Kluyveromyces lactis: one gene and its partners. The protein of the gene in region 1 binds, or shares a complex with, the protein of each later gene. Links are inferred from orthologs where the notes say so. Each region holds a gene or a part of one and is shown in the gene's direction. Other genes may lie near its edges. The genes, in order: POM152, NUP145, POM34, NUP1, NDC1, SEH1 and NUP57.

Region 1 (4,039 bases):
CATGATCCCAGGTCCGACAAACTTCATAAACTTCCTCAAAATTTCAACATGGTTCCTCTCGAATACACGAGATAGTATAAGCATGGCAGTTTCACAGTTTAGATAATCTTTAAGTACCAACAGTAACGTGCCAAGAATAAATTACCGTCTTTCGTTCCTTTATCTAAATTCCAATAAACAGAGAATGAAAACAGCAGAACTATCACCAATTTACAACACAGAATATCTGACCTCTATTGAGCTAGCGCCTCAAACTCTTACAGATTCTAACGTATCGTGTTTTAGCAAACTCTCTTCTCGTAAATGACTTATTTGTAAGAGTGCAAATCAAATAAATCAAAACCTTAAATTTCTAAACTTCTTTTATAGAAGGAGATTCAAATGCACCTCTGTAATGTTATATACGACGAACGTGAGAGCTGTATATGGTGTTGAAAACAAATAAGTTCCAGTGCTCCAGTTGTGATTCAAAAAAGGAGACGATCCTGGACAATGGAAGTATCTCGATTCCAACCAAAACATTCTTTTTCTCTCTGGTAAATATATATATTATATATGTTAGGACCCTTAGCTATCATTACTATTACTGAATCTGGCATTCAAATTTGCCGAGGTTTTTATCAGATGAGGTCATGATAAAACTTACCTAATTCAGGATTCATTAGCCAGATGGGGTAAAGACATTTGCTTACTAGCATTTATGTCCTCCTTGCTTCTGACTAGGGTTTTATGAGAGGATGACGGGAATTTGACGGGAATTTGACGTAAGCAATGGAGCTATGCAACGGAATCGACATTATAATATCGATGCAAACGATCTCACTGGTAATTCTGGATAGGCGAAGAATTCAAGAGGCTATAATTCGAATATTAAGACCACAACGTAGTGGCAGATCATATAGAGTTGCTGCGTCCTTGACCATTGTACCTTGATCAGAAGCGAAACCTGAATCGTACATAATGATATATCCGATTCAGATCTTGTCAACAAACAGAAGTTCAAACTTTAAGCTTATGTTTGGTCTTCTCATGTATGCAGATGCAGGCTAGGATCAACAAGCAATCGCGATCCAGGCACCCGTTACATACCAATCGTCAATTAAAAAGCGAGCGACTAAGTGATAAGTTGTATGCGTGATCCCATTTTTTTCTATTAAACTTCTGCGTATTGGCACTTTAGAATCATATTCTGTTGAAAAGGGAAGCTGAGATAAGTTCAGACGCATATACAGTTAGATAATGGATTCCAGTTTCGGAACAAATGGGTTCTATACACATACTCCATCGATGTGGAGTGATAGTAGGCGTAGGAACGTTGGAAATAGAGATAAAGACTCGTTCAGAGGAGGAATAAGCGATCGAAGAAATGAAGAGATCAACAAACCAAAAGAAGATCCATTTTGTATATCCGGTTTTTCCAATTACACAGGAAAATCGAAGTCAAGCACTAGTAGAGCAAAGAATGGCCCAGCGAGTGAATCGATTAAGGAGCTACCTTTGATTTCTACTGAAGTTCTCGATGCAGCCAGTCAGAGAAGATTAGCCTTCGTCGTTTTTTTTATCATTCAATGCTACAAACTATACGATCTAATCCTACTTAAGAGTGGGATACCATTATCTGGGATTTTTCTATCGAATTCAAGGTTAAACTTCATTTCAAAATATTTGGTAATAGACTCTTTGTTCTTTTACTGTCTCCCCACGTTCAAAATACCCAAATTAAAGTTCAAACCACTGATAGTGCTTTTGCAGATTATTTCATCCGCAACCCTCACACTGTTTATCTCCAGTGAACAAAGTATCCCATTGGTATCGCTTCTATTGTCATTATGGAGACAGTATCACAGCAGAGACTTGTCCTTAACAGGTGACTCTGTCAACCCAAGAAAGGCTATGAATTCGGCAGAACACTTCAAAGGTGCACATACCATTAAAATTTTGCCAGAAAATACAGCATATTTGAATCCCTTCCACTCGTCTTTTTGTCTACCACTGGACCAATCTGGTCCTGCCATTGAACTACCTATAAGAGTCAACTCATCATCCACAATCAATACAGTCCAGTTAGAGTTCAGAGATCTATACTCAAATGAAGGTGAACTGTGGAACTTCACCAAGAACGATTTAAAACCACTCAAGGCAGATATTTCAAAGGAAGAAACTGATCGTAACATACATTACTTTACTGTACCTCTTAACAAAATCGGGTTTTACCAGTTGAAAACCGTTCTAGACACTAATAATATCAATTTGAGAATATACAAATCCCAATTAGTGCTACCTCACTGCCCATTGGCTTCCATTAACGGAAAGGGAGAAAATGATAGATGTGTTGGAGATAATGATGAGGTTTCAATTCAGGTACAAGGTGCTCCACCTCTTAAATTGACTTATACTAAGACAATCAATGGCCAAAGATACGTACTAGAAGATTCATCACTTCAACCAGAATATTTTGAATCACCTTTGCTAACGAATTCAAAATTCTACAGTCAAAAAGATGTCCAAGATTTAAAATGGGCTCGTTCGTACCCTGTAGATATCGCATTAGAAACTTCAACCAAAGAATACGGTGAACATGTTTACTCTATCGAAAGAATTGTGGATGGATTTGGTAATAGCATTGATTTTTCCTCATTATCATCACAAGTAAGAGAAAAGTATGATTTGATCCACAGATTCTACGTGCACGACTTACCAAGAGTATCTTTGGATGAAAAAATGAATCCCGACAGTTCTGTTAGAAGGTCTTTAATAGTCAAATTGGACTCTGGCGATTTTAACAAGGATGCTCCATTCATCGTTCAGTTATCCCATGAAGATAACAACTCCAAAGTGAGATACTTCGAAAAACAATTCAATGATAAAACATTAGAATTCAAAGTTGATGAGCCAGGTTCTTATAATTTGCTCTCAGTAAAATCGAGGTATTGCCACGGTGCCGTGATTGGAAAATCTAATGTTCTGATAACTAAACCAATTCCTCCTCAATTATCTGTAAGATCAACCCCAATATTAGATCAATGTGTTGGACAGGTCGGCTTGAATTTTGATCTTACTTTTACCGGTGTTCCTCCCTTTTACTACAAAACAAAAATATACAAAACTGAGCAAGGAGAACGTAAACTATATGATACAAAAAAATTCAGCTCCCAAGGAACCAGAAACCAGTTTACTTATTCACCCACATCAGAAGGCAGTTATGAAATTGTTTTCACCGAATTGTCAAATGAACTTTTCACATCTCCTATCTCCTTAGATTCGAAAGAGTACACATTCAAAACCAGCATGAGAGTGAAACCTAGTGCAAAGATTTCAGGGAAGCTAGAGACAAAATTATGTCTTGGAGGGAAAACGAAGGTACCTATTAAATTCAGTGGTGAGCCTCCTTTCACGTTAAACTATGATTTAGTAGAGACTTCTTCTAATAAGAGAACTTCGTTTAATAAAGAGAATATTCAAAGTTTTTCCTATGAGATCGAAACACCTAATTTCAACATTGGTGGTGATCATATCCTATCTTTAGTTTCTGTGAAGGATTCCAGTGGATGTTTGGTAGGTCTAAGTGGTACTGATGCCAGAATTACCGTTAGAAGAGATATTCCTTCTGCTTCTTTTGCTGTGTCAGAATCTTCCTCCCAAGTCAGCATTAAAGAAGCTTCATTCGCAGAACTTCCATTAAAACTTTCAGGTGAAGGACCTTTCAGAATCACCTATAGCCATTTGGATAACAAGGGAGACGTTCTCGAAACTGAAGAGGTGACTTTCAGTTCCAACTATAAACCGGCCTTAAAGGTTATGAAGGAAGGTTTGTATAAATTGGCTTCAATTCGTGACCAGAGTTGTGTTGGCAAGATCGTAGATCCGAACCATACTTTCCAAGTAAGTTATCTCAAAAAACCTACGTACTCATTAATTGAGCACAACAGAATCTCAAAACTGGACGATTTCAACTACATTAAAAATGATGTCTGCCAAGGGTTTGAAGAAACCATCGATATGTCTCTAAACGGCATACCACCCTTTTTGATAGAATATG
Region 2 (4,243 bases), on another chromosome or scaffold:
ATAAAAGAGTATTTTGAGGCAGATACTGATACCCGTTATGCTATTAACGAAAAGTTAGAATTAGTAACCATAATGGCTAGATTACAATCTGAAAAAGTCTGGTTTGAGTGGAGATCACAACATTTGAAAGGAATTAAAACAGTCCTGGAAGAAAATATAGCTATCTTGGTGGATGAAAATGCCCAGATCATGAAATACATGAATGAAATAAATGACGTGAAAATAAGAGTTAGTGACATCAAACAGGTGTTAATGAAAGAACTTGATGTTCTTCGGCAGCACAACGATGTTTTTAGTAACAAGAAAGAGAACATAACGACTCTCCTGAAAGTGAACAAATTGAAAGGAGACTTGAGGGAGAACATGCTAAAGGTGTCAGACTTGAACCAGCTGACCACTAAAAAAGATCAACTTACCCAAAAAATACAAGATGCAAAATTGGAGATGAGTAAAGTGAACGAAGAGATTGCTCAACTTCGACAGGACTTGAAACAAAGCAAAGTTTGCACAGAATATGATGTGGCAAAGCTTAAACTAGTCCATCAGCTTTACCAAAGCATTTCTGGTATAAAGTTCAGAAAGTTAGTTGGTCCAGTCCTATCTGTATCATTACATGACGACAAAGTTATTGTGACAGCTGATCTTTCAAAAATTGATCAACCGTCATGTATTTCATTCAGTATTAGAGAAGAACGAATAGACCAATTTGAAAGAGAATTTATAAACTGTTGGATCAACTCTTGCCAGCGAACCTTCATAAATGGACTACAGTGCATATCAAGTTTGCAACGTCAACTGATAGATCTTTCAATTGTCATTTCAGAATTCAAAAAATTAAAACTCGTATTCCCGGCAACCGTCAATGCCCCATCACAGAATTCTCAGATCAAATATGTCACATTCCAGCATTTGGACTATAAATATCATTGCAAAGTAGCCCTTTCTTTGCCTATGGAAAGGTTTATTGATTTGATATGTCACTCTAAAAATGCGACCATCAATGTTAATATTATCTATGGCGAAGAAAAAACAGCAAGAAATCTAACGTCTAATCTCATAAAGAAATATGAAAAGGTATTTAAATGGCTCTCCAATTGTAATATAGCTCTTTGATATGGATATCCGAGCTTTTGTAGCGCAAGTTTTAGGCATTACGCAGTATATAGTTTCGTACGATATTTCTTTAAATTTCTCTCGAATGGCAATATTCCAAAAAATTGTTATTCTATAACATTTAAACAGTAAGATGAGTGTAAACAAAACACCTTTTGAACTCTAACAAGTGCACTACTTGGCTATCATTGATCGCAGAGCTTCTAAAAACCAATTCCATAGCTGGTGTTCATTGCTGCAGACGAAATTTCTCAGTTTTTTGTTACTGCTGTCATTTTTGAATCTGTACAGTTTAAACATCATCATCATAAATTCAACAACAAGTTGATTATGTTTGGTAATAACAAAGCGCCTGGTTCGTTATTCGGCAACGCGAACACCTCAACACCTACAACTTCTACACCAGCGAACAATGGGGTTTTGAATGGAAAACCCAATACTGGCACATTGTTTAGTGCTAATACACTCTCCACGCCGAGCCCTGGAAACCCAACAGGATTTGGCAATGCTCAGAACAACAACAACAAGCCTGGGTTGAATCTTTTTGGAAACAACAATGCTTCCCAGAATACACCACAGACGAATTCTCTATTCCAGCCTAATAACGCCGCTGCATCAACGCCCAACACATCATTATTTTCTGGCCCAGGGTCGAATGCCCAGCAGAACAATGGTGCTGGCAAGCTATTCGGAAATTCTGGTGGACAACAGACAGCTACTGGTATCTCATTCGGAAATAACCCCAGTGCGACAACAAACAATACGTTCCAATCAAACGGATTAAATACGCAACAGAGTGGTGGTTTATTTGGTAATAAATCAAACAATGGTGGGTCACTTTTCGGAAATACTCCATCGCAAACTAATAGTCTATTTTCTAATAATACCACGAACACGGCGTCAACAGTCCCAAAGACTTCACTGTTTGGAAATTCATCAACACAAGGTTCAGGGAGCTTATTCTCGTCCAGCAAACCAACTACAAATTCAACAGGCTTGTTCAATGTTTCTCAACTACAACAGCCACAGCAACCTGGCCAACCCCCAACGAACAACCCATACGGTTTGCAATTAAGTCCAAATCCTGTGCTGTCAATGCCAGAATCTATTACTACATCCCTGAGTAACGAGAGAAAGCCTGTCTCAGACTCGAAACAAAATAGAAAATTTTCAACTGCATCATCAGTGATCAGCAACAATATATTACCTCCCACAGGCAATTCAACACTGATAGGGAAGCTAACTTCAAGACTTAAGAATTTGAAGAGCAGAGAAACAACACATGGTTTGTTCTCCCCATCAAATAAAAACTTAGCCCAACAGGATACTTTCTCGGCACTTTCAAGAGATGAGAGTAAGGAAAAAGGGAAGAATATTAACAATAAGACAAACTCACTGGCTTCTTATTTTAACCAGGACGTTTCAAGCATGAAAAAATTAACCATTGATACAGACAGAAGCGCTGCCAAAAAGATGAAACTCTTTAACGGTCACTCTTCCGCTACCATAATGAAAGATATGGACGAGAAAGATCATAAGATTAGTATACCAAGGAATGATAAACTTCTTTTTTCAGCACATCCTTCAGAAACTAGTCCAACAGAGCCAACTTCGGAAGTCTGTCTGGATGAAGAACACAAAATAACGAATAAAGCAACTGACTATTGGTGCTCACCTACTATCGAACAATTAGAGCAACTTACGGAAAACCAGCTCACGGTTGTGCCCAATTTTGTGATTGGTCGCAAAAACTTTGGTTCCATCAGTTTTGACTATGAAGTTGACTTAACTGCATTTATGGATGATTTTGAAGAACTATTCGGAAGAACAATAATTTTTAATGAGAATAGAACCGTGGAAGTCTATCCTGATACCGAAAATAAACCGGATGTTGGTTATGGTGTCAATGTACCTGCTACAATAACTTTGGAAAATGTTTATCCGATCGATAAAAAAACAAAAGAACCCATTAAAGACAACTCGAAAATTGCTGAAGTTCAATATTTTGTCAAGCGTTTAAGGAATATGAAAGAAATGGAATTCATTTCATATAACCCATTTGGTGGAATTTGGACTTTTAGAGTTAAACATTTCAGTGTTTGGGGAATGGTCAATGAAGAAGATATGGAGGTGGATGCTGAAGAAGCAGAAAGAATAAACGCCGAGGAAATAAGAGACAGACCTCTGGCCTTTCCCAAGCGTCGCCACAGTGTGAAGAAGTCTAGCACGTCCCTTGAAGCGGAGGTACCAAGCAATGCAGACCTCACAGCAGCAGAGGCTCTTGCAATGGAGAAAGAAGTACTAGATTTGGTTCCAGTACTATCCGACTCTGTTGACCAAGACATGTCACTTATTATCAAGGAAAAACCTTACGAACCTTCTGATTTAGACGAAGATGATTTGAATATCCTCGAGGCTGCACCTAAACTTGTTACATCATCGAACTGGTTGCAACAATTACAATTAGCAGGTACTTCCAAACAGTCTGTGTATTCCAAGCCACTTTTACTCAAAAACACGCAAGGTAATTCTTTGGACGATATCTTGTTCCCTTCATTTAAGAAAGATTTATTGACATACCAATCTGTTAAAAGAGAAAGAAGAATCAACTCACATATGTGGTTTGCGAAGTTTAATATTAACGGGCAATTATTGCTCAAAGATCCATCACAGTTGTCAGGCTGTAAGCAGATCGTGTTTCAGTCCAACTTGCCAATAAATAAATCTTCTTTTGACAATGTGTTCGCCTCTTATCTGAACACATCCATAGTCAACTCCAGACCAAATGGTTATCCTCTTGTTGGGAAATGTTCCTTACAGTTCGATAATCTTGCTTCTGCATATTCTGATGTCCCAAATGAAGACAAAATATTGAAGTTAGCATCCATTTTGTTTGATCCTCTTTCCCTTCCATACGCTGTCAATTCCCCAGAAGTTGAAAAAGTTCTTATTAAAAAACAACGGCATGCAAAGCTCTGTGGATGGATAGTCGATGAAACAAGGGCTGAGATTGATTCTATGCTATCCACTGCTTCTGATATTCAGAAAATACTTCTTTTCCTCTCTGTCAACGACATTGTAAATGCTTCAAAGACGGCTATAATTTCCAAAAACAAACATTTATCTGTTT
Region 3 (3,153 bases), about 150 kb from region 1:
CGGCCTTCGGCAACAACAAGGTATTGCACCCCGGTGCATGGGCCTGATCTGGCTGCAATTGAGACAAATCCAAAGGTTCCCCATCTTCGGGCTCCCCATTTGTCATTTCTACATCGCTAACGCCTTGACTATGAATGCCCTCGGAGTCATCCGCACTACTGGTATGTTCAGTCTCGTGAATCGTGGTCGTGACCTCTGCAGTTGGCTGAGTTGCAGACACTGCGGTGTCTGCAGTTGTGCCAGTACTTGTATCAGATTCAGCGTTATATACCAACAGTGTTTGCTTTTCATCCCCTTTTACATCCACATCGTCATCTTCCTCTCCAACCATGTCAACGTCAACGACATCACTATCAGTATCGTTATTACTAACAGCAGCCGTATTCTTCGACAGCGGACTCTTCTCAACAGGCGCACTTGCAACAGCCGCTACAGTTGAGCTATGCTTGTTCGCCGCATTTTTCTTTTTCAGATGCATCTTGGCTGTAGAATTGGATAACGTAGTATGAATTTCTGATTGTCTTGAATGAGTCGCAGCAACCCCTGGACGTCCACTCTTCTTTGCACTTAGCGTATTCTTGCTCTTACTTTTCTCCGAGCTTGACCCACTAGAACCTTTATTACTATTGTTACTTGACGATGAATTCCTACCCTTCTGTTTCCTAGAGCTATCCGAATCGCTTGAACCACACAATAAAGATGCAATGAATCCCATCACTTTTATTCCTAACAAAATCAACAGCGACCTATAAATAAATCGAGACACTGAGCGAGTGAGAGAAACCAAAAATCACACACTGAGCCCAAAAAAAATGGATAACCGATATTAATCAGATTGGTTTTTCAAACGGATTGATACTGTTATTAATATATGTTCTTTCTTTCTATCTAAGCAAAGAAAGATAGCAAACAAAAAAAACCTAAATACACAAACCAATCAGGCTCCCTGAAACCACTGGCCCCTTGATATAGTACCCGTACACTGACAAATCCCGGTACTTTTCAAGACTTTACTGCCCTTCTGTAAATGGCCTCCAAAAAAAATTAAGTTGCAGTTAAAATAAGAGAGTTAGTCAATGACCAATGTTCTATTCTCAAAATTGTTTAATCTGCAAAAGTTGACTGTTTCTGGTTTTTCCATGCTGAACAGAACATCAAAACTTAAAGAACGAACCAAACGAAGCAAAAAGAATTTTTTCTTTTCCCTGGCACAAGATGGTGCGGGTAACGAGATGTTTTTCACTTGAAAGAGATAGAGGCCGGCTTGAAGATTCACTTCTTAGTTTAACTACTAAAAACACAGCTAGTTCTTCAATGTTAATAAATAAGAATCGTTCAGTTTTTACCTGGATACGGTAAGTTTCATATCCTGATATTAGTGGTGTTTTTACTGTGGTAATTGATCGAGAGTTTACCCCGTAAATACAGGGATCAAGATATATAAAGGAAAAAGGTGAGAGTAGCAATGGATAATGGAATTTCTGCGCCTGGCACACCGGCCAAGACTTTTCAGACTCCCAATAGGCCTTTGAGCCAGCAGCAATTTCAATCCTTAAGGGAAAAAGCTATCAAACAGTCGCCTGCATTGTATAAACACAAGGTATTGAGTGATCCTACCAGCAAGACTGATGTTTCCAAGTCAGATTCTTCCTCTGTGTTTGCTGCATCTGCGTTCTCTGGCAGATTTGACGCGAAACCTTCAGCATCAACTAATACACATACCGCATCCCCTGTTTTTCGAGGAAAAAGTAACCAGGCATATTCTACACAGCAAGATACCGCACCAGTGACAAATTCTGATCTGCTACCGGACGAACCGGTGGGACAGAAACAACAAACGGATTTGAACTTTTCCGAAGATTCCGCATATGATAAATTGACTGATTTCGAAAACCCGGCGTTGGCTGCTTTCACATCTCGTATGGTTAATAAAGAGTTGGAGATGAGAAGGTTGTTGACTAATGTAGTGTTGGCAATGATTTGGAATCTCATATACAAATTCGTGTCATTATTCTTCCAATTCACTAAAAGGGGATCCCAACTTCGAGACGAACTGTATCTTTTCGTATTGAAAAACGTTGTTTATAAGATTAACCCACATGCCAACATCAATTCATTTTGGTTCCAAATGCTTTCTTGGCAATTTGCAACCAGTATATTCCATACTATTGTCATTTTTAACATTGCATCGTGTCTTTGGAACTTGCTGATAAAAGCACAAAATACGGACATATCAGATTTGCATCTAACCGAGAATCAAAAACGCTTGTTAGGGGTTGTGGAAAGCACCCCCGACTATGGTAGATCCTTTGATCCTTCAATTAATATAGGTAACTCTAAAGTGAAATCCTTAAATGAAGCAGAATCAAAATCCAGCCACAAGCCTTTCATATTCAAATCTTTACAGACTCCAATGAAAATGCGTGAGTTGAATACCCTTCAGCAAGCAGAAGTGAAAAAAAATCATGTATCTTTCTCTTTACAACCGAAGAAAGTAAACGCCTTTGGTGTCGATCACATAACAAATGTCTCCAATACTCCTACAACTTTATTCACATCGACACGCTCACAGCCAGACACTCGTCCCGGATATATTCCAAGCAACCGGTATACTTATATGATGGACTCACCAAGTGCGATGAAGAAGCGCTGAAAAGCATGCGTACTTCGGAGAACGATTCTTTTTCTTCTTCTTTTGGTTTCGAACCTCTGATAGCAGTTATGATAAGAATGTTATTACTTACATGGCTACCTACCGCGTATAGTTTATAAAGTTTATAGAAGAGAAATTTACAGCGTTACCAATGGTTTGGGAATAGAAACTTTAGCTTGGCCAAGGCATCTTGAGACATGGCTTCAGGTTTTGTTGAAATGGAGTACTTCATGGCATCCTTTAGACCATCACCGTTGTTCATAAATTCAGGAAGTTGCTTTGCCATTTCTAAAATGACCCGGGATGCCAAATGGTTAGCATTTTTGGCATTGTTCTGTAAATTACGGATAACAGTTTGTACAGACACTGGTTCTTCTTCGTCTCTCCATGCATCATAATCGGTAGACATACAAACCATCTGGTATAGAATTTCACATTCACGAGCCAATTTCGCTTCAGGGATCACACTCATGTTGATGACATCTCCACCCATCAGACGG
Region 4 (3,958 bases), on another chromosome or scaffold:
AAATGCCTTCGTTTGTAATTTTTCAGTTTTCTTCAATTGAACAGTGGATATACGCTATTCTAATATCACATTTTTCTCGAGGCAACCCAGATTCGATCAGGGAATATTGAAAACTACAAAAAAAAAAAAAAAACTATATGATACCATTAGCAGAGCTCAGCCATAAAAATAGCACATTTATGACATTTATGACATTTATCGATCTCCCACTTCATGACTCGTAGTCGAAGGCATCGTGCGATGTTCCACTGCCCATTTTCTTCTAGTGTAATGATTCTTTTCTTTTCGGATTTAGACTTATGTGTTCGTTTCAGTCTTCTGTCCCTTCAAGGTGTTTTTTGGGATTTTCCTTGACCGATATGGCCTCTTCGTTTCGGAATCAAGCGGTCTGTTCTGTGGTGTCGAAGCCTCATAACCACATTCGGTGTTGCACTTTTTACTTGATTTCCTCCATGACGCGTTCTTCAAGGTTTCCCCAAACTAAAAAAAAAAAAACAAGATGGGACGAATGTATGACAGGATGGGGAGAAATCGGTCACGTGATAATCTGAATTTCACAAGAATAGAACACTTGTACTGTTAAGCATGGCATTGATGCACACTACGTTCTATCCTGTGCGTTCTTGCAGTTTAACGTTAAGTTTTTCTTTACTTATATATCAATTTGTTCTTTTCGATCCCTCATGTCACTTTCAGGCCTTATGTATAGAAAAATGAACAAAACTTGAGTTCTATATAAAACTTGAAAGCTAAAATAACGAAAAAGGGTACTTTTGTATTAAGTGGACGGCAAATCTTTAAACTTTCATAATGTAGAATCGTTATAATAAATTTTGGATAATAGTCGAGCCCCATATTGATGTTTTGGAACTAATGCAAATTTATGTCCATCTCCTAGCTAGACTCTCTTATACTGACGCCTTGGTTAGTTTAGGTCAATATGTGTCAAACCGTACAAAGTGATTATAACCCTGTAAGAGGAAAAAAATAACAGCTAGGAATGTTAGGACTTGAAATATCGAATTATCAAATATCGAATAATACCTTTATTAATACGCAAGAAAGTTACAGAAACAGCAGTTTCGAAAGAAATAGGAATCGAAAACTTGAATTGGACTCTGGTTCACTTGCCGCATATCACGGCCACTTTATAGAATAATGTCGGCATCATATCTGGAAAAACCCAAAAGATCGATTTCATCGACTTTGGCATCATTATTTACCAAGCATGACGATACGAATAGCGAAGATCCGAATATAACAAGGTCGCACAATGAAGATATCAGTGATTCAGGATCAGTGGTCATCAAGAGGCAAAAACGTGGCTTCGACGGTTACGAGGAATTGGTTTGGAATAACGAAAAAATCACCGATCACCCGTTAAATCACAATGGCATTGATGATATCAATTATGATGAAAGACCGAATATTTTCTTGTATGAAGGGGATTCTGAACATGGTGTAAGGCCTCCAGTACTAACGATAGAACCGAAACAAAGATTGCGGCTACTAAGGATGCAGCAACTGCGCCGTGCTCGGCAATTCCCACTTTTACAAAGACAATTACAATCAGCAGAGAACGGCCTATATCGCTTAACAGACGGCAAAAATGCTACTATAAAGAATTTACTCGTCAACAAACTACAAAGTGACAAGAAAAATCATAGGGTTTCCGATAACCCAAAGTCCAAGAAGTGGAAAGCTGATTTTCAATACGATTTATCAGAATATGATATCTTGAAAAACGACAAAAAGACGAAACCAGTATCTGCCTCAATGGGGAATTTGGAATCTCCTAAACTACCACATCCATTGCTAAAAAGGAGTACCTCTTCAAAGAAACATGTCAATACTTTTGATCAAACAGGAGTGCCTAGTGGATCTGGCTTAACTGATGTTCAAAGCAGGTTATTACAAGGAAAGACATTGCAAAAAAATCCAAAGATAGCACAAGAAGTAGTTGCACCAACACTATCATTGAAACCTATCGTCAAGGAAAAAATATCAGAAGATAAAGTTTTAAACGCTAACGGCCCAAGTGTTGGATTTGACTTTATGAATAGAGACAGTACTTCTATTTTCCCAGGTAGCACAGATACACCTACCAAACCAACAGTATCCAAAAATATATCTTTTGGAAATACCAAATTGGATTTATTCAACAATGATAAACAGAAATTAACGGCCCCTTCTCAGGATTCTGAAGAGTTACCAAGAAAAAAGAAAGAATTTAGTTCTACTGAGGACACTGTTAAACCATTTCCCTTCACAAGTTCTAAGTCGCTGGAAACATCAACTGAACCATCGAAACCTGCTTTTTCTTTTGATGCGGTAAAAAAAAACAACACAGCTACAGCCAATGGAGGCACAAAAATCTCAGATGGTGCTCCTTCTTTCACCTTTGGTGATTTATCAAAAACCAAGAAAGAGACCAAAAAAGCTGAAACATCCAAAAACCCCTTTGAGAAATCCGCCCCCGAACCTGTTGAAAATCTGGCTAAAGACGGCCTCCCTAAGTTCAGCTTCACTGGTGCGGATACAACTGGGATATCAAATATACCTACATTTAGTTTTGGAAAATCTTCAGAAGGCAAAGAGATAGCTAAACCCGCCCCTTCATTCAGTTTTGGCAGCCAAAAAGATGCAGGCGAACCAACTAATGTCAGTGAAATGTCAAAACCTATGTTTAGCTTCAACAAAGGAAAATCATCTACTCCAGATCTGACCCCATTGAGTACCTCTCAATCAACTAATACACCTAAACCACTATTTCAGTTTGGTTCCAGTGGTAGTACTGAACCTGCCGCAAAGAGACCAGATGGTACAAAAACTGAAGCACCAGTGCTGCCATCATTCAGCTTTGGTGGTAAACCTGTAGGAAATGATTCGTCAAAAAATATTGAGAAGGAAAAAGCTAAACCTTTCAGTTTTGGGCAAGCTTCGAATACATCAGCATTTTCTCTCAACCAACAGCCTTCAGCAGACAACGCGACAGAGAAGCAGGAAGCCAAAAATGCCGTCAGTACTGCTGTAAAACCTGCATTCTCCTTTGGTAGCACCCCAGCAGCCCTACCTTCTGATACAACCCCAAAAGAAGCTGCTGCACCATCATTTTCGTTCGGGACCACAAAGAAACCTGTTCAAGGTGATATGAGTTCGAAACCTGCATTCTCTTTTGGAAGTTCCTCTGCCATCCAGCAGCCCTCAATTGAAAAAGCTTCCAATGCAATTCCTTCGTTTGCAAGTCAGAACACCAGTGGCCAGCCTGTCAGCGGACTCAAATTTGATTTGACAGGGTTTAAAAATAATAATAGACAAACTACTCCGACTCCGTTTTCAGATTCATCAAATGTTGGATCTGCTCGTGGAAGCAACCCTCCTGTCCCATTCTCATTTGATAATGTCGTTCAACCTGGGAATAAGATAAGTGTAACGCAGCCTACTCAAACTACATTTACTTTTGCACAACAAAATCAAAAACCATTTACTTTTACTGGAAGTGGGCCAAGCACTACCAACAGTTCACCTGCATTTGGAACCAGTTCCAATCAGCCTAATGTACCTTTTTCATTCGGCGGAAGCTCAGCTTCTTCCACTCCCCAGGTACCAGCATTGGGTACCGGTTTCGGTAATTCTATGCAGACAAACACATTTAATCCTTCAGCCGCTGCCAATTTTAATTTTGGTGGTCAACCATCTCAAAGTCCTTCTGTAGTATTTGGATCCCAAACCCCGCAACAGAATCCATCGTCCATATTTTCCGCTGGTCAGCAGAATCCAGCGGACATATTCAATGCGCAGGCTTCAACTCCTCAAGGAGGGGCACCATTTCCACCGCAGCGCAAAATTGCTATGCCCGGTAGGAGAAGAAGAAGAGGCTAATAAAGGAAAACAAAGGCTTTGCATCTCAATTGTAACAATTATTGCATGATATCATTCCTTCCGACATCTTTACATT
Region 5 (3,551 bases), on another chromosome or scaffold:
GTTCATTTTCCACGGTTCCATACCCAATATCCTCTCTGAACGTTCCATCGGCTAACGAAACACGAACAATAGCGGTGCATCCAATACTAAATCGACCTTGCCTTTCGTCAAGGAAATCTATAGTGACATTTTTAACCTCCGTAGACCATCCGTCATACCCAAAAATCTGGTTTGCTAGATTGATTGCTTTCCAGCCTTCGATATATGCTACTCTACTGGATCCAAATCCTACTCTCTTTGAAATATATTCTGGTCCTAGCTTCTTATCTAACTTCGTTTGAATGTCATCTTTACCATTCTTGCCACTTCCTGTATCCTCCATATCTAACAAACTGCAAAAAGGAAAATTGATGCGAGTCGCACTAATATACCAATCCACAAAATCTTCTACCAGTTAAAGACACAAGCAAGGTGGTATCCTGTCCAATTCAACAGCGCAAAATCGTTAACTGTTTGACCTAGTTTGTTTAAGTTTTAGTTTATCAATACAGTAAATTTGAAAAAAGTAAACAGAGCAGTAGCTTAAATCACGTAAACTTGAAAAAGATCTGTTTCTATCGGTATTAAAAGACGCGAGAGCCATGTAAATTGAAAGGAGTTTTGAAAGGATGGCAATGAAACTTAACATTATCATTATAGGATTGGCAGTACCTGTGCTGTCATAGAAGTACTTACATTGGTCATGAAAGTGGCGACGCAAATCATTCTAATATTTTCAGTACTCTATGAGTGACCTTGTATATATTTGTATATATCTTTTGGACAAGAATATCAACTTTTAAGCGTTAAAGTTGACACGAGACCATTGTTACAAGAAAGAGAAAGAGAATATGACACATATTTAGTTGATTTACTTATTTACATGTAACAACTGTTTACGATATCATCAGGTTCGCGTTTAGCGTCTATATGTTGAGACTGACCTCACTGACAAGGAGGTGATTGTCTTTAGTTTCGAGTTACCATGCAAATCAACTATGACATTGGCATAAGAGGGTTACCCGAATATCTAATTTTTTTATGACGCCTGATCTCTAGATCACAACCTGTTAAGAACTTAAAATGCTTGAGATGATATACAAATAAATAATATAAGTAACTCGGAAGGTAATTGATTGTCCTAAAGTCCAATTGACCTTTGTCTGTTTTAAGCATCTAAAATTACTCAGCTTATTGCTATACAGGCTGTACTTTTACCTGTGTTCATCTTTGATTGGTTTGTTTTCATTGATGTCTTACGTGCAGAGTTTAGGACCGGTTGCACCGCAACTGCGTGATTCTCGTTTTACTTACCATCGGATATTCAGTGGGGTATGCAAGAGCAGGTTTAATAATTTCGCCAGGGGTTTACTCTTCAAAACAGCGGTACTTGTCGGTTTAATTACAACCATTACGACACAATGGGAGTTGTCGAAATCTCAGAAATTACTGTTATGGCCAGTAAAAATATTATCTTTCTATGTTGCAATGTTGATGCTAATTATTACCAGGAAAAACTATCTTCATGTCAATTACCTTGGATATACGAGCTGGATAAGCGCATCATATGGCCAATTAGTCTCCCGTAAATGGATCACGTACCTTTTAGTTTACGTTGTGAGCGCATTCTTCCTTTCTTTGACATTTTCCTGTTGCTTTTTCACTCCAGGTACTGGTTCAAGAAAGCATTCACAGCATTACGAATTTTGTTGTCAGTTTATGGTACCTTTTTTGTATTCCATCCAACATGTACTTTTAGATCTTGACAGACTTACTTTCAACTACGGTGCTCAACATCAACATCCTCAGAAGTTTATGGCTTCAAGAATCCATGATTCATTTTTGAAGTGTCTTGTGTTAACTGCAATACTCTTTCTAATTACTCCAATTCTATTAAAGCTTTTATTCGGACATCTAGGCTCTGGTATATGGTCCCATATTAGGATTTGTTGTATATGCTTGTTAATCTTGCAAACATGGGACTTTACAAACATTGGCTTCGACGCCTTTCTATCAATTGGTTGCTTGCATAAAGGTAAACCAATCTCTTCGTTATCTCCAGCTTCAATGGAGACATTGATCACTGGGTTGAGATCAGAAAAATTATTTGTTAAACTTACTGCATTCCAAGAGCTGGCCTACAGAGCCACTTGTGCAAATGTGGAGTTGAGGCTCCCAATTTACCACAATACCTATAGAAATAGCTTGATCTGGCCCGGTATACTTAGAGAATGTATGATTGTTATTCAAGAAACCAACTATAACGTATCCGATTTCTTGCTTACATTGAAGAAAGAGATTGATCCCCAGCCTACAAAACCATCTTTCCCTATCAATAGATCGGTAGATCATTTATTCGGTACCAACCATACTGTCAGAAAACAAAATAATGATGAGGATTCCAGATTACCTGGTGCTCCTCCTACTGAACAAATAAATTCGGATCTACCATCAATGGCTTCACATAGAATCGTTTTAGAGGACAGCAATGTTTTCAAAAACAACGATACCCAAAGAAGTCCGAATCCTCCGAGATTTATCGACTCATACAAACAAGCAATTTTTACCAGACAACCTACAGTACTTTCTGTTTTGACTGATCTTTGGAATTGGATACAGAGAAGAATCAGTCAGTACTTTTTCACCATCGATTCAACTGATAACACGAACAAGAAGCTCTCATTGTTTGAACTTTACCATATATCAAAAGTAAGGGAAGCTGAGAAGTTGTGTCCTGTGCCAGTATGCTATGCCGAGTGTGTGTATTCGATGATGGGTTTTATAGTAAATTCTGTGGATGAAGATCCCAAAGGAGCTGTCGTATCTTCAGTCGGCGAAGTATTAAAAATTTTGGAAAGATCTATTGGCTCTTTAGGTTCGTTTACTGAATTAATATTGGATGGAAAACAAGAAAAGGATTTGAATGATGTCATAAGTGTGTTGTATGACTTATGTATCAATGCATTTTTGGAAATAGTTTTGAAGTATGACACTCTCCTTAACGATGTTTATTTGGACGAAGATGTCGTGAAGTTAACACAGTGGTTGCAAAAAATGTCACAAGATATTTAAACATAGCTTGGCATCAATTGGATTATTCCCAACAGAAGCATGTTACTCTAATAATATTCAAAAGTTATATTGCTTTCATTATAAAAGAGAAGAAATCTACCCCAAACTTCTGGTATGTTATAGGAAGATGTTACATGTACTGAACAAGCGAGCGGAGAATACTTGCTTCTTATTCCAGAAGTCGGAATTATTCATGAAATGTTTTTATTTTCCATTAACCTTCACTAGATCATAATGACCATTGAGGTTAGTATTTGAGTTACAGCAGAACTTTTGTTATAACAAACTTATTTTAGCATTACGTATGAATAAAATACAAACCAAAGCATACAAACGTTATCTTCATTTTTACAAAAAGGTCATTACGTATTTAAAAAGACTTTTTCCATCGGTTTATCAATTCATCGATCCGCACTAGCTTTTCGTGCACAATTAACGTTTCTCGCCAACCGTAAGTCTTATAAATTTAATAGCAACGTCTGTAGTATCTGCTCAAGAAG
Region 6 (2,671 bases), about 940 kb from region 1:
AATACTTTTGCAGGCCAGCGGTTCCATTTGAACAATGCTAGTGAGACTCCGAGGAATGGGACGATCAATAAAAGTGAGAATAGGTGTGATTCACGAGCATGTCCGTTCACACCCATAGTTAAATACAACACATCATTAATCATAAATATTAGGCCTAGGACAATGCTCTGCCCAACTTCAAGTCCATTGACACCAGCCAATATATTAATTGAATTTGGACAGAAAATGGCGACCGAAGCCATATAGCAGTAATAGAAAGCGCCTAAATCAATGGATGTCTTGCTTGTACCAATTAACTCTTGTACAAACTTAGGGATCAAAACATGGGTAACGCTAAAATCAACATAGTAGACTACAAGTAATGGAATCGCAGCAATTGCTGGTAGGAAGAATTTATGTCTCCAGCGAAGATCAAACAAATCGTCAGCAGCACCTAGTAATATCGTGGATTCAAGACATAAAAGTGCACTTAAAAATTCACTTAACTTACTATGTGGGAATAGCTGTTCCTCCGTCGATTCTTGAGAAACCAGATCTCTATTTCCACCTCCAGAGGTTATCACCAAATATTTGTAAAACATGAAAGGAATCGAAAAGAACATGATAAACAAATACACTGTAGCAGATACAGATCCAATTGTTTCTGGAATCACTGGCCTACCAGGTTTACTCATATCTTTGCCAAATAAACCAATCTTGATGAAGGAATCACCTACTTGTGGGATCAATACATCAACTGCCACGTAGCCAATTACAGAAAACCCTACTGCAGATCCGATAGGAGATACATCTTTAAAATATACAATTATTGCAATAGCAAACAGTAGCAAAAAATAAGAAAGCATGGTTCATTCCCTGAGCTGGTACTGGCTATATATAAAGCTTCAGTAAGCACTTTTTTAGCTTAGCATTTAAAATGCCAAGCGCTTTCTTAAATTATTGTGTTTTGATTTTCGATATATATGAATCCTTTAAACATTGAACTTCGAACTTTTCGAAAACGAAAGCTAAAAGTTGCATGATAGAGGGAAAGAGAGTTGAGCTGAGTTGAGAGATATCTACACTTCACGGCTTTGAAGGTTGAAGTTATTCTATCGACCAATCTAGTGGTAAATCCGATAAAATCTTTTATCATCATGAAACCGTTTTTGACAGGACACTCAGACCTAGTGCACGATATTAGTTATGACTTTTACGGTCGTCGAGTCGCAACATGTTCCAGCGACCAACATATCAAGGTGTTCAAGCTAGACAAGGAAACGAATGAGTGGGAATTGAGCGAAAGTTGGAAGGCTCACGATAGCAGTATTGTGTCTCTTGATTGGGCCGCACCAGAATTTGGTCGTATCATCGCGAGTGTCTCATACGATAAGACTATCAAACTATGGGAGGAGGATCCAGATGCCCTTGAGTTATCCGGAAAGCGTTGGCAAAAACTTTGTACGTTGAACGATGCGACAGGACCGTTGTTCAGCGTAAAATTTGCTCCATCGCATTTGGGACTAAGGCTAGCTGCATTGGGGAATGATGGTAAGTTACGTCTTTATGATGCGTTAGAGTCTTCCGATCTTAGGTCATGGACCCTGACAAGCGAGATTACCGTCTTAAATACTCCACCTGCATCACATCTACAATCGGATTTTTGTCTGTCCTGGTGTCCCTCCAGATTTTCAACAGAAAGATTAGTTATCAGTGCCATGGATCAGGCAACTATCTACCAAAGAAACAAACAGGGAAAATTGGTCCCAGCAGGACATTTGAAGGGTCACACTGGATTAATCAGATCCATTGCGTGGGCACCATCAGTGGGCAGGTGGTACCAATTGATCGCTACGGGCTGCAAAGATGGGAAATTAAGAATATTCAAAGTAACCGAATCGCGTAACAACGGTACGAATATTATAAACGAAGAAAACGATAACAATGCAAACATAGAACGTGATGGCCCACCCATTGACAGCTCCGCCATTGATGCAGATGGATCAGTGGCTAACCTTCACGTCGAGCTGATCAGCGAACATTCAGACCATCAGGGCGAGGTATGGTCCGTATCTTGGAATCTCACAGGTACAATCCTAAGTAGTACCGGAGATGATGGTAAGATTCGGTTATGGAAAGCATCTTACTCGAACGAGTTCAGGTGTATGAGTGTGGTACAAGCGGCAAGGTGATTTATGTATATATCCCTTCATAATGTGATGTTAAAATGTATGTAATTATTGACCACGTGACCAGATATCATCAAGGGTTCGAGATTCAATCTAAACACTGACAAATAGAAACCTTATAGCTAAAAGGTACGCCACATTGGTGGTTTAAAGCCGTCTTCTCACCTGCTTGGAGTTTATCATGTACCGATCAATTCTAAGTTCTAAGCCCCAAATTGCACACATCCAGCCGTTGCTTTGTAATCACATGAAATACATTGCATCAGAAACGAACATTTCCGCATGCTTTGACACATAGCAATAAACACTGACAGTTTACTAATCTATAAATCTTATAGGATGCAGATATACCCGGTGTCATCATAAAATCTTATATGATATACCTACAGTACTGTTATAACGCCGTTACCAGAATGTACAGTTCTTCATCGTCCGGCCGATAAATCTGTCGTTCCGTTGCTGTTCCTGATTGTTGGTTCCGTTCCTTAGCACTTCTGCTTTCT
Region 7 (3,663 bases), on another chromosome or scaffold:
TTAGCTAAGAAGACAGAAATGAAACACAGAACTAGCACCATCAAGTATTAGTTGACACTGTTATAGTAGTGACAGTGCAGTGCATGCAATTGCCACAAGGTAAGGATGAGGTATTGGACCAAAAGTATCTAAACATTCTTGATTATAGATTTACTTATCTTAAGGAAAATTAGTCACGTGATGCGCAGTAATCATATCACCCTTATTCATCTGTATTGCACCATCAGTTTAGTAAGTGTGTTCCGAAAACTACCCATTCAAACACATGTATCGGTCTTTGCCCTTGTTATATACATGTATTTTTCTAACTATCAATTCTATTCAGCGTTCAAGATATTTAAAGGTACGAATCGATCCTTATATTCGAACGATCATTACCAGAAAAACGGAACAAGAGCGAAAAGAGAGGGAAAGTACTGTGTGAAACTACTCTCACCCAGCGATGACCGACCTAAATGATGATTTGGATCTACCAGTAACTAAAGAACTAAGCAGAGAGTTAGTTTCCAATTTTGTACGGAAGAATGGCTGCTTAGATATAGATAAGCTATTACTTGAGAATAACTTCCAATACGTATCGTTAGACGAACTCTCATATGAAGTATCTGCCTTGAAGCAATCAATGGAACAAACTATACTGGATGAAATCAATGACAATTATCCCGAGTACATGGAAATATGTGACAGGTTTAATACTAGTGACAATAACGAGGTGTTGAATAAGTTAAAACAAGTCTTGAATGATCTACAACAGTTCAACAAGCAATTACTCCAACTTTGTGATTCCTCAGTGGCTGAAACTAGAGAAAAAACAGTAACAGCATTATCCTACCTAAAATCGCTTGATAACCTATTTGGTAAACTGGACGATATCACAAAGCTATCAGAATCGCTAAAGATATGCCAGCAACTTGTATCATCCTTACAGTCTATGGTGCAGCTGAATATCGACGACGAGCTTTCCTTCACAGTGGCAAAGCAGCTCTCTACTATACTAATACGTTGTGACTACAGATTTAGACATTTGGAAGACAATGATTCCACCCTAATTACTCGAATGAGAAACGACTTTAAAAGTATTCTCGAGACCGCAAAGCCTTTAATTAAACCCGTTCTCGAGAAGCAGAACCAGCAAACTCAAACCATAAAAACTTAAATATATGATAAATGCGAACCCAATTCAAATAAAGTGAGATTCCACCCCCTAGGTGGAAGCGAGTCTACGCTATGAGTATCCTTACGTAAATGTGTATAACATCTCTGACTTTGAGCCTCATCTCATCATAATGAACGATCTTGAATTTTTCAGTTCTTCACAACAAAAGCATCAACAAACATCACAACTAACATTAAATCTATAAGAACGAACTGACAATATAGCAGGGCCAGCGTACTAACAGAACACTGTGAATATCGATAAGGTTCAATTTTCTGTCATCAATTAGCCATGTTTGGTGCAGTGAATTCGGGAAATAGTTCAATGAACAATGGCGGCGGTTTATTTGGTAACAAACCTGCTGCTGGAAACACAGGGTTCCAGTTTGGCGGTCAACAACAACAACAACAGCCACAGCAGCAGCCTGGTGGTGCTGGTAGCTTGTTCGGACAGAATAACAACTCGATAGGTAATACATCAAACACTGGAGGAGGTCTGTTCGGAAGTACACAGCAACAGCAGAAACCTTCTACTGGGGGTTTGTTTGGCAACACGAACTCTGCCGCGGGAGGAACAGGCGGGTTGTTCGGCCAATCCAATCAGCAGAATAATACCAATACTGGGTTGTTCGGCAATGCAAACTCTACAGGAATACAGCAGAATAATACTGCCCCAACCAGTGGAGGTTTGTTTGGGTCCAAACCGGCAGGTGGATTGTTTAATAACACACAGCAGTCCACCACTGGTATCCAAGGAAATCCCACTGGAGGTGGATTGTTTGGTAATAATAATGCGAACACAGGAAGTTCGGGTGGACTGTTTGGTAATTCCGGAAATACAAATACCAGCGCTACTTCTGGAGGTCTTTTCGGTGGAAACAGAACTGGGGGCCAATCCACAGGCGGACTTTTTGGCAATAACACTTCTAATAGCGGCACTACTGGAGGACTATTTGGATCCAAGCCTGTTGCGCCAGCTACTACATCTCTCTTTGGCCAAAATCAAACACAATCACAGCAGCAACAGCAACAACAGGGCCAGCAAGGTCAACAACCAGGGGGGGCATCCTTGTTTGGTTCAACGCCATCTACTACAATGCAACCGTCATTTGCATGGTCTAACACACAACAACAAGTACAGCCCCAGCAACAGTTGCCGTCGGTTCAGCAACCACAACAACAGCTACAAATTCAGCAACAACAGCAACAGCAACAAATATCTAATTATCCGCAACAAATCCAAGAACAAATTCTAAAGTGTAAGGAATCATGGGTGCCAAGTGAGCAAAGATCAAAACTTAAGACGTTTGTTTACAATAAATGTACGGAAACTGAAGCTATGTTGTATAATAAACCATTATCAATCTCGCAGGATGATTGGGATCAAGCGCTCATGAGTAAACCTGGTAATAATACTATTCCAATTAGACTACTAGGTTTTCAGGATCTCAATGATCGTAATCAATTACAAAAGCAGCATGTTGCACAGGCTAGAGTTCTTTTGGGCCAAATTTTGGAAAAGCTAAATCAAGTTAACACTAAGCATGATTTAGATACTCAGTCAAGGATAGCAAAAGCTGTTTCCCGTAACACCGTCATTGAAAATAGAATTCTCAAATTGGCTTCTCAGCTAGCCATATTGAAAAGCAAGAATTTACCATTGAGCCTACACGAAGAGGAGATGATGAACAAGTTTAATAAACTATTACAAGAGAGCAATGATCCAGCAGGTCTAGGGAAAAACAACGAACTTTGGGCAAGACTCTCTGTATTGAAAGAAAGAGCCAAAAATATAAGCGAGCAACTCGATAGCACTCTTGTTGTGATTAGCGAAAACGGCGGCAACTCGAACGGTAAGAAAAATAATCAAGACGAGGAACTAGAAGACCGGGTGAACAAGATAGCCGAAATTTTAAGTAATCAACAACGTGGTTTATGTTTCTTAAATGATGTTATAGAAAAGGATCAGAAACTTGTCGACGAAGTTCACACAAAGCTAAATAAGTGAACATCATCACCACATTTCTGATTCAAGAAATGTTATTAATCTCGAACAATTCAAATGCATGAAAAGAGAGCAGTTTCCTCAATAATTTTGTCTTGCTGACAAATGTTTATAAACTTGTGTACTTTATTCTAAGAGAAAGAACTTACTTACCGTGCATTATGTCAAGACATGACACTTTGATTTATAGGCCTGAAAATCCATGGAAAAGGGTTGATATCCTACTTTTTGTAGACTCCTTGAACTCTTTATCAGGTAATCTAAGCCAATGATTCATTTCGTTTGGTAGCTCCGTAAGATTTTGGAATAAACATGGGATAATTTGAATTGTAGGTTTATTCGATGGAAATTCAATAAACCTTTTACTATAGGAAAGTTCCCCCGTAAAATTGCCTTCAGGAGTTTTAAATCTCTCTGTATCCTCCAAAAATAACCACTTGAATAAGTCGCGCCTGTGGATGTCTTTAACTTTGCCAGATAACGTTCGGTAGTACTTTACCGGA

Evidence for each region.
Region 2: POM152 (region 1) and NUP145 share a complex: the UniProt entries of both Saccharomyces cerevisiae proteins name them as parts of the nuclear pore complex. The link is inferred for Kluyveromyces lactis from reciprocal best matches to the Saccharomyces cerevisiae genes POM152 and NUP145.
Region 3: POM152 (region 1) and POM34 share a complex: the UniProt entries of both Saccharomyces cerevisiae proteins name them as parts of the nuclear pore complex. The link is inferred for Kluyveromyces lactis from reciprocal best matches to the Saccharomyces cerevisiae genes POM152 and POM34.
Region 4: POM152 (region 1) and NUP1 share a complex: the UniProt entries of both Saccharomyces cerevisiae proteins name them as parts of the nuclear pore complex. The link is inferred for Kluyveromyces lactis from reciprocal best matches to the Saccharomyces cerevisiae genes POM152 and NUP1.
Region 5: POM152 (region 1) and NDC1 share a complex: the UniProt entries of both Saccharomyces cerevisiae proteins name them as parts of the nuclear pore complex. The link is inferred for Kluyveromyces lactis from reciprocal best matches to the Saccharomyces cerevisiae genes POM152 and NDC1.
Region 6: POM152 (region 1) and SEH1 share a complex: the UniProt entries of both Saccharomyces cerevisiae proteins name them as parts of the nuclear pore complex. The link is inferred for Kluyveromyces lactis from reciprocal best matches to the Saccharomyces cerevisiae genes POM152 and SEH1.
Region 7: POM152 (region 1) and NUP57 share a complex: the UniProt entries of both Saccharomyces cerevisiae proteins name them as parts of the nuclear pore complex. The link is inferred for Kluyveromyces lactis from reciprocal best matches to the Saccharomyces cerevisiae genes POM152 and NUP57.

The regions. Positions count from the first base shown.
Region 1 is NC_006042.1:1,588,323-1,592,361, reverse strand, and holds the start of POM152 (Pom152p), read left to right. Parts: upstream 1-1,239; coding exon 1,240-4,039. Other genes in the region: putative divalent metal ion transporter SMF3, read right to left, coding at 1-84. UniProt on the Saccharomyces cerevisiae protein: Functions as a component of the nuclear pore complex (NPC).
Region 2 is NC_006041.1:1,686,104-1,690,346, forward strand, and holds the start of NUP145 (nucleocytoplasmic transporter NUP145), read left to right. Parts: upstream 1-1,443; coding exon 1,444-4,243. Other genes in the region: kinetochore-microtubule binding complex subunit SPC105, read left to right, coding at 1-1,113. UniProt on the Saccharomyces cerevisiae protein: Functions as a component of the nuclear pore complex (NPC).
Region 3 is NC_006042.1:1,442,090-1,445,242, forward strand, and holds POM34 (Pom34p), read left to right. Parts: upstream 1-1,465; coding exon 1,466-2,653; downstream 2,654-3,153. Other genes in the region: PSR1 (phosphatase), read right to left, coding at 1-715; MEU1 (S-methyl-5-thioadenosine phosphorylase), read right to left, coding at 2,799-3,153. UniProt on the Saccharomyces cerevisiae protein: Functions as a component of the nuclear pore complex (NPC).
Region 4 is NC_006039.1:1,148,553-1,152,510, forward strand, and holds NUP1 (FG-nucleoporin NUP1), read left to right. Parts: upstream 1-1,158; coding exon 1,159-3,882; downstream 3,883-3,958. UniProt on the Saccharomyces cerevisiae protein: Functions as a component of the nuclear pore complex (NPC).
Region 5 is NC_006038.1:139,184-142,734, reverse strand, and holds NDC1 (Ndc1p), read left to right. Parts: upstream 1-1,230; coding exon 1,231-3,051; downstream 3,052-3,551. Other genes in the region: recombinase RAD52, read right to left, coding at 1-322. UniProt on the Saccharomyces cerevisiae protein: Functions as a component of the nuclear pore complex (NPC) and the spindle pole body (SPB), probably by playing a key role in de novo assembly and insertion of both structures in the nuclear envelope.
Region 6 is NC_006042.1:649,975-652,645, reverse strand, and holds SEH1 (Seh1p), read left to right. Parts: upstream 1-1,136; coding exon 1,137-2,171; downstream 2,172-2,671. Other genes in the region: ALG7 (UDP-N-acetylglucosamine--dolichyl-phosphate N-acetylglucosaminephosphotransferase), read right to left, coding at 1-845. UniProt on the Saccharomyces cerevisiae protein: Functions as a component of the nuclear pore complex (NPC).
Region 7 is NC_006038.1:975,810-979,472, forward strand, and holds NUP57 (FG-nucleoporin NUP57), read left to right. Parts: upstream 1-1,447; coding exon 1,448-3,163; downstream 3,164-3,663. Other genes in the region: Golgi transport complex subunit COG2, read left to right, coding at 443-1,156; MSS18 (Mss18p), read right to left, coding at 3,345-3,663. UniProt on the Saccharomyces cerevisiae protein: Functions as a component of the nuclear pore complex (NPC).